Mus musculus: one gene and its partner. The protein of the gene in region 1 interacts with the protein of each later gene in a pairwise test. Links are inferred from orthologs where the notes say so. Each region holds a gene or a part of one and is shown in the gene's direction. Other genes may lie near its edges. The genes, in order: Lonrf1 and Crx.

The links.
Region 2: the proteins of Lonrf1 (region 1) and Crx interact in binary tests that used the Homo sapiens proteins (3 or more experiments, as listed by UniProt). The two-hybrid records come from large-scale screens. The link is inferred for Mus musculus from reciprocal best matches to the Homo sapiens genes LONRF1 and CRX.

The regions. Positions count from the first base shown.
Region 1 is NC_000074.6:36,218,099-36,221,917, reverse strand, and holds part of Lonrf1 (LON peptidase N-terminal domain and RING finger protein 1), read left to right. Parts: intron 1-1,939; coding exon 1,940-2,092; intron 2,093-3,819.
Region 2 is NC_000073.6:15,869,929-15,873,747, reverse strand, and holds part of Crx (cone-rod homeobox protein), read left to right. Parts: intron 1-1,362; exon of another isoform or gene 1,363-1,435; coding exon of another isoform or gene 1,436-1,474; intron 1,475-2,471; coding exon of another isoform or gene 2,472-2,504; coding exon 2,505-2,604; intron 2,605-3,819. UniProt on the Homo sapiens protein: Transcription factor that binds and transactivates the sequence 5'-TAATC[CA]-3' which is found upstream of several photoreceptor-specific genes, including the opsin genes.

The DNA.
Region 1 (3,819 bases):
TACATATATACACACACACACACACACACACATATATATGCATGCTGCTTATGGCTTAGACAGGGTTAATGTGGCCTCTCGATGGTTTTGGGACCTAATTTACCAACTGGAATTAAAGTACCAGAAAGTGGCTGCTGTTTTAAGTATCAAATTGATAGCAATTTCTACAGGAAAGACAGGATAAAATATAGGTCTTACATTAGCACTGTTCACCAGTCTATTCCAGCCCTTTATTTCAGTCAACATTTCCTGATTGCTGGGCATCTTCACAAAGAGTTCATAAGACTTTTCACAAAACTAAGAGAGTTAGCAGATAGAGTGATTGGGAGTCTGTGATGTATTACAGAAACGATGGAAGGCTGACTGCCTCTACGTCCTGTGAACTCTCCCTACACCACGCTGCCTCTCTGCTGATAAGTGATTAGCTTGATGTTGCTTGTTCTCTCTTATAAAGAAAGATGCCATGTGGTGGGAGGCAGAGGAGGCAGGTCTCTTGAGTTTGAGGCCAACCTGATCTACATAGCTCCAGGATGGTTGGGACTACATAGAAAAACCTTGAGGCAAACAAGCAAACAAAAAGATGTCATACGGGAATACTTTGCTGTATCAATCAGGGCAGAATATTTTATGAGTGAGTTGAAAATTTTAGTTGATTGATAGTCTTTGTCTTATGTGTGGTTGGCTAATGAAATTGTTTGCTAAAGATGGTGTGCTTTGTAAAACCCAAAAACCAGTTTTAATTTTGGTAAATGTGTATAATGTTAGATCACATTTGACGGCAAAGTGCTTTGGGCGGGCAGCTGAGCACACATGGCTAAGGCGCACACCCAGTAGAGTAGCACATTGAAAGTGTGTGTAGAAACCGACATGGTGCTGGGAGACTGGAGTCACGCCTTAGATCCTTCCTGTTCCCATTTCGTATGTTTCAGCATTTTGCTTTTGCTGTTGTCTGTGCTGGTCTGGTCTGGAAGACCTCAATTTTATTATTTACCTTTTCTTCTTGTGGTAGTAATTCTGGGATGTCTAAGGAAATGTTAAGGTCAATCTTTAAAAAGCCTGCTTTTGAAATGCTGCTTGTTTCCTGGCTGGTTTTGTTTATCTCGCAGAGGTGTAGCTCTTCGCCATTTTAACTATTTTTAAGCACCACTTATGGATATATCTATCACATTATGCAAATTACAACTAACTTAATGCATAGTTTTAATGGTCATTTTATTTTTTTCAGAAGTAAGAATGTGTGGCCTTTTGTGTTTTGTGTCTTTTATATTTCAAAAATCTTCCCATAGCCAGTAGGCCAGGAACATGGTCCACCCTTTAGGATGGATGGGTCCCTTGGCCATCCACCTGCGTTCTGCTGGTCTTCTTCGGCTGGACGATGTCTTTCATTTTACATTTGCCATCCGGTGGTCTAGAGGGCACAGGGAGGAGTTTGTGGAGGGAGCCACGGTGTTGGACCCTTATGGCAGAAGTTGAAATTGTATATTTTATGCTCTACCTTTTGACATGCCAATTTTTTTAGCAAGTATTTTTGTTGCATTTGTGTTTTGTATTTTGACCCAGTTCTCCCATTAATCATGTATTCATGGCCATCCTCCTGTTGCTGCTCTCTGCCGTGTGTAACCCGAGTGCCCCATTTCTCTTTTTACTGTAGCAACTATTTTATTCCAAATTTGTGTAGACCTTTGAACCAGAGCCCACTGTCCACCATACTTGCTCCTTCCCAGGCTGTCAGTCAGGTTGCTGCTTGCTCCCAGTGGAGACCAGGCACTGCTCTTCCCAGAGAGTCCTGTCAGCACTCTGTAAGGCAGAAACATAACCTGCTATTGCCTGAGAATAACACTCTGATAGCCTAGCACCGACAAGGACCTTTCCCAGTGTCCCGTGGGGCTGAGCCTAAGCGCTCGGACACCTCTGAGATCTTACTGCCTGCTCTTCCTAGATTGAGAATGGAGATGAAATAAGGAGCCTGCGAGAGCTCCATGACTCGGTGTACTCGCAAGCCTGCAGCTGGTTTCAGAATTTAAGGGACAGATTTCGAAGCCAAATCCTTCAGCACTTTGGATCAATGCCTGAGAGAGAAGAAAACCTCCAGGTAGGATGGCTCTGCTGCCGCTGCCACTGCCTGTCTCCCTTTCTCAGGAACCTGATGAACAGCTTTCCACCTCCCCCTTCTTTTATTGCCGTCGACCCCATCTTGAGCATTATGGCTGTATTCTCTAGAGCACTGGTATCTGCTACATGTAGCCCAGGCAAGGATGCCTGCAGGAAAGAGGGTGCCACAGAGGGAGGGGGTCTTGTCTCAGGATGTCTCGAGGGTTGTAAGATGTAAAATGGATGCTAGCCTGCATTAAACTGTGACTCTGAAGCCACCGTACCTCCCAGCCCATCACCCGTGCCTTTGACAGTTGAGAGATGTGTGGTTTTTTCCATCCTTTAGGAAGTCTGCTCCTCTCTTTTTATCTCCTAACTACTGTTCACCGTTTCAATCCACTTTTGTCTAGCTGCATGTAACACTTCCATTATCATAAAACCATCATTCTTGGGGTCCTGCTCAAGTACTGGGGTTTACATCAAAACTGAACCTAATCATTAATGTGATTTAGATTCTTTCTGTGCACCAAGCTCCGCAGTAGCAATTGCAAAACCCATTAGGGGGTCCCTTACCCTGGGGACTCCAACCACAGGCTCCTGAGACAACCAATATTAAGCAGTACATTTTGAATTGAATAAAGTCTTTATGGTTGACTTCATAGTGGGATGGCTGTACATCTATGAAGGTGGAGGGATAATAGATCCAAGTGTGATCCATCTCTCACTCCATCCTTCAGAGGTTGGTTTGAGTCTCTTATGTCAGCATCAGGACCATTTCCAAACTGAGGACACGCAGATGCTACGTCTGTGTTGCCCATTGTGGCATGTTCATCCTGCACACCTGAACCTGGTTAAACATTATAGAAGTATGCTCTCATAAGACGAAGCAGGATAACACATTTAAAGCCTCCAGAATGTAGCTTCCGTCAAAGTCTGGGCAGAACTCCCCCATGGTCCTCTCTTCTCTCCTCTCTCAGTAGCTGCCACTGGTTTCTGTTAATGCCACATTAGGAGTCAGGGAAACAAAGCAGCCTCTGGAGAGATCCAGGAGTGAGAGGGTTTGTAAAGAGGGACGGGTATGGGCGTTGGAGGCTGGAGGAACAAAGGTCAGCGCCAACGGCACCAGAGGCCACAGGATCCCTCCGCAGTGCATCAGGAGCAGCAGAGCACCATGGCTCGCTGGAACTTGTGGAGAAAGTGCTGCAGTTCTTGGGGCCCCAGGGAACACCCGTCTGTCTGTCCATCAGTCAGAGGCAGTGGAATGGGTAGTTCTCTAGAATCCTCTGGAAAGCCACACCCCACGCTTTGCAAAAGTTTCTAGAAAATAATGACCTCATTATCCGTTTCTGCATCTGGTAAGAATGCCATTGGCCCGATTGTGTCTAACCTGGAGACACGTGGAGGGTGGGATCCTGGGAAGTTTTCTCTGGAATGCAGAAGGAAGTGGGAGTGGTGCAGAGATCAGAGCGGTGGAGAGTGGGGCAGTGGCACAGGTTGCTTAGATACTGCCGTGGTTCCTTCATCACTCTGAATGTTGCTATTTTGTGGCTCGTGAGCACCAGTGCAGTGACAGTAAGAAAGGCTATGGAGTCCTGTTGTGCACACTTACCGTGACTCTGTGGCTGTGTGCAGCCCTTGCAACGCACAGGAGCTTCCTTGACTTGTCCTCGCCCTTGCAATGTTAATTTTTCAAACTAAACGGGAAGCCATTTTTTTGAATTAAAAAAA
Region 2 (3,819 bases), on another chromosome or scaffold:
ACATGCACTTAGTATCAAAGTGTGACTTTGACAGTAACCTCAGTATTTGGGATGTGGAGGCAGGAGTATTGCTATGAGTTTGAGGACAGTCTCGGCTAGTAAGTTCCTGTCTCATTAATGGTACATCCAGGAGATAGTTTATTCAGTAGCCTGCTTGGTTTTTCCAAGTATGAGGATCTGAGTTTGTTTCCTAGAAGCCAGGTTAAAAAAGTGGGCACATTGTGCTTATAATTCCAACACTGGTGAAACAGAAACAGCTGGATCCCTGTGACTTGCTGGCTAGCTATCCTAGCTTACACAGTGATTTCCAGACTAGTGCGAGACCTGAGGAGGTAGACTGCTTGCCTAGCATTTGTGAAGACCTGGGTTTGATATCCAGCACTCCATAAACCAAGTATGGTGGTACTGACTTGTGATCTTAGCACTTGCGAGCTGGAGACAAGAGGTTATTCTCAGCTATTTGGCAAGTCTGAGGCCAACCTGAGCTATATAAGACCTCTCAAAAATAAAATGAAAAAAAAAATGAGGTGAGTAGCTTGATCAATAAATTTGGGGTTGAATTTTAGCCTCCCCTCCACTTGCACACACACACACACACACACACACACACACACACACACACCATACATGCACACATACAATTCCCTTCATATACACAAACACACACACACCCTCATACAAAAACATCCCTCTACACTCCCCTACAGACACACACTGCACTCACAAACACGTACATACAAGCACACACACACATACACACACAGCCTGGGAATGATGGTTAATACAAGTGATCTCAGCACTTGTGAGGTAGAGGCAGGAGGGTCAGAAATATGAAATCAACTTTGGCTACAGCCTTACCTTGGCGAATTTAATGTCAGCCAGGGTTACATGAAATACTGCTGCACAAAGTCAAAAAAGTTTTTATTTATTTATTTATTTACTTATTTTTTATTTGGATGTTGTGGCTTGGTCTACAATTGAGTTCCATGCCAGCAGCCAGGGCTATAGAGGAATTTTAATCTAGCAATATGGCTACTCTGGCAAGGGATCGTACCCAAAGAGATAGGTCTGTGTGATCTGGCTGGAACACAGACACACCCTTAGTACACTCTTTTAATCCCTTTGGCTGGAATATAGACAAGCCCTTAGCACGTACCTTTAATTCCAAATAATGATGTGTGAATTAAGTGGCTGATAAAGTGATGAATCAGAGAAAGATTTGACAGAATGAGTCAGATATAGGATATGTACAACTCTCTTAAGAACTGACAAGAAGCCGGGTGTGGTGGCGCATGCCTTTAATCCCGGCACTCGGGAGGCAGAGGCAGGCAGATTTCTGAGTTTGAGGCCAGCCTGGTCTACAAATTGAGTTCCAGGACAGCCAGGGCTACACAGAGAAACCCTGTAAAAGAACTGACAAGAGGGGGCTGGAGAGATGGCTCAGTGGTTAAGAACACTGACTGCTCTTTCAAAGGTCCTGAGTTCAAATCCCAGCAACCATATGGTGGCTCACAACTTTCTGTAGTGAGATCTGACTTCTTCTTTTGGAGTGTCTGAAGACAGCTACAGTGTACTTACATATAATAAATAAATAAATTAAAAAAAACAAGACAAGAAAGAGGCTACTTAAGAGCGGTGTGTTTGAGGCAATTCAGCTGAATGCAGCAGAGTTCAGTTGAGTTTGTGCAGTTTTGTCAGTGAAGTCAGTGCAGCTCAGTTCGTGGAGTTCAGAGGCAGTTTTTCCAAGAAGAACAATTCGGTCAGAAGCAAGAGAGAAGCCAGTCTGAACCAATCAGCTTGTAGAAGCATTTGAGCCAGACAGTTGAGTTGAACCATCCAGCCAGAGTTCAGGGAGTTCAGAGAGAGCTAGAAAGGATGAACTTATTCAGTACTATATCTCAGAGGCTGAAATAGGCCTAAGTTGAGCAGGTGGAGTCTGGAAGTCAAAGCCTTCCAAGTCTGGGCTTGCAGAAGATTGGATTGTATGGAGGCTTGGAGCTTCCAGGCCTAGGCCTAGGGATAATTAGATAGAAACACTCTGGGCTCAGCCCAGGTTGTGTATTCACACACCCTGGGTACAGCTGTCATCTCATCACTTCATTCGAGGAAATTAAAGTGACAATTACACAGGGCTATATACTGAGGCCCTGAAACTTATTATGTAGACCAGGATGGCCTCAAAGTCACAGAGTTCTGTCTCCTCAGTTAGAAAATGAATGTACCACAACACTTGGCCTCTAAAAATGTGTGTGTGTGTGTGTGTGTGTGTGTGTGTGTGTGTGTATGAGAGAGAGAGAGAGAGAGAGAGAGAGAGAGAGAGAGAGAGAGAGAGAGAGAGAGAGAGATTTTGATGGGCAAGATTGGTTGGATCCCAAAGAAAACCTGAAGCAGGATGTGAGTCTGTGAGTCTCAGTTTGTAAATGCCCAGGCACTGGGCAGAGTAGTCTGTTGGACACCCTGTTCTCTTGTAGGTGCCCTCATCTGGGCCACAGTCTCTGAAGATCATGATGGCATATATGAACCCGGGGCCTCACTATTCAGTCAATGCCTTGGCTCTGAGTGGCCCCAATGTGGACCTGATGCACCAGGCTGTCCCATACTCAAGTAAGTATGTTCTCCTTTCCACCTCCAGTCTGTTTTTTAAGACCTTCTGAGGTTCATTGCCTTCAGGAGAAAAAGCATTCATGGGGTGGAGGGGGGCAGTAGGACCTTGTACCTGCTCTATGTCCATATGCAAAGGAGTTTGGCATTCCAGGGACTTTTACATGTTCCCCAGGAATTCAGAGGAGTATATAGTCATGACATTGACTACCTCTGGAGGGAGGGGAGGGGAAGGGAACTGGTTTGGAAGCAGAATCAATAGGATTTCCATCTGTCTGTAAAGTTTTTTTCTTTTCTTTTTCTCTTTTGGAGTAGAGGTTTTTGGGCTGGAATCCAGGGCCTTGTGGCTTCTAGGTAGGCACATTAGCATGGAACTATGCCCCATCATAACTGCAGGATTCTAGGCAGGGGCTCTACCACTGAGCCATGCCCCCAGCCCCTCACTCTATAACTGAACATGTCCCAGACTCTTGACTCTAGACTCTAGAGTGCTGAGATTGAAGTCCTTCACCATCATGTTCTACTATGATACACTATTACTTGACATATCTCTCATCTCTTGTCTTTCTCTCCCTCCTTTTCTTTCTCTCTCTCTCTCTCTCTCTCTTTCTCTCTCTTTCTTTCATTTTCTTTTCCCTCCCTTCCTTCCTTCCTTCCTTCCTTCCTTCCTTCCTTCCTTCCTTCTTTCCTTCCAACAGGCTCTCACTATGTAGCCCTGGCCTGGAACTCACCATATAGATCAGGTTTCTTTACAAATTCTCAGAGTTCTGCTGGTCTCTGCCTCCTGAGTGCTGGAATTAAAGGCAGGAGCCACCTGATCTAGCCTTTCTTTTTCCTTGAAGGACAAATAAAACACTATTTATTTTTGCATGAAGGGTAGGGAGCAGGGGGCATGCTTGCCATGGCTCCCTTGCAGAGGAGTTGTTTTTTCCCTTCTACCACTGGGTCCCAGGTATTGAACTCAGGTCCTCAGGCTTATACACAAGTGCCTATACATGCTGCACTATCTTGTTAGTCCCCCCCCCCTTCTCTTACATTAAGTTGAACCACAGAGGCTTACCACTTTTATAAGCAGAAGTCATGGTTATTGACAACGTCATGTTTCAACAAAATATATCTTTGAGCATAAAGTTTCAAGAGAGGCATCTGGTACAGTGACCCTTGCCTGTAGTTCCAGAGATTTGGGAGGCTGAGGTAGGAGGATCTCTTGAGACCATG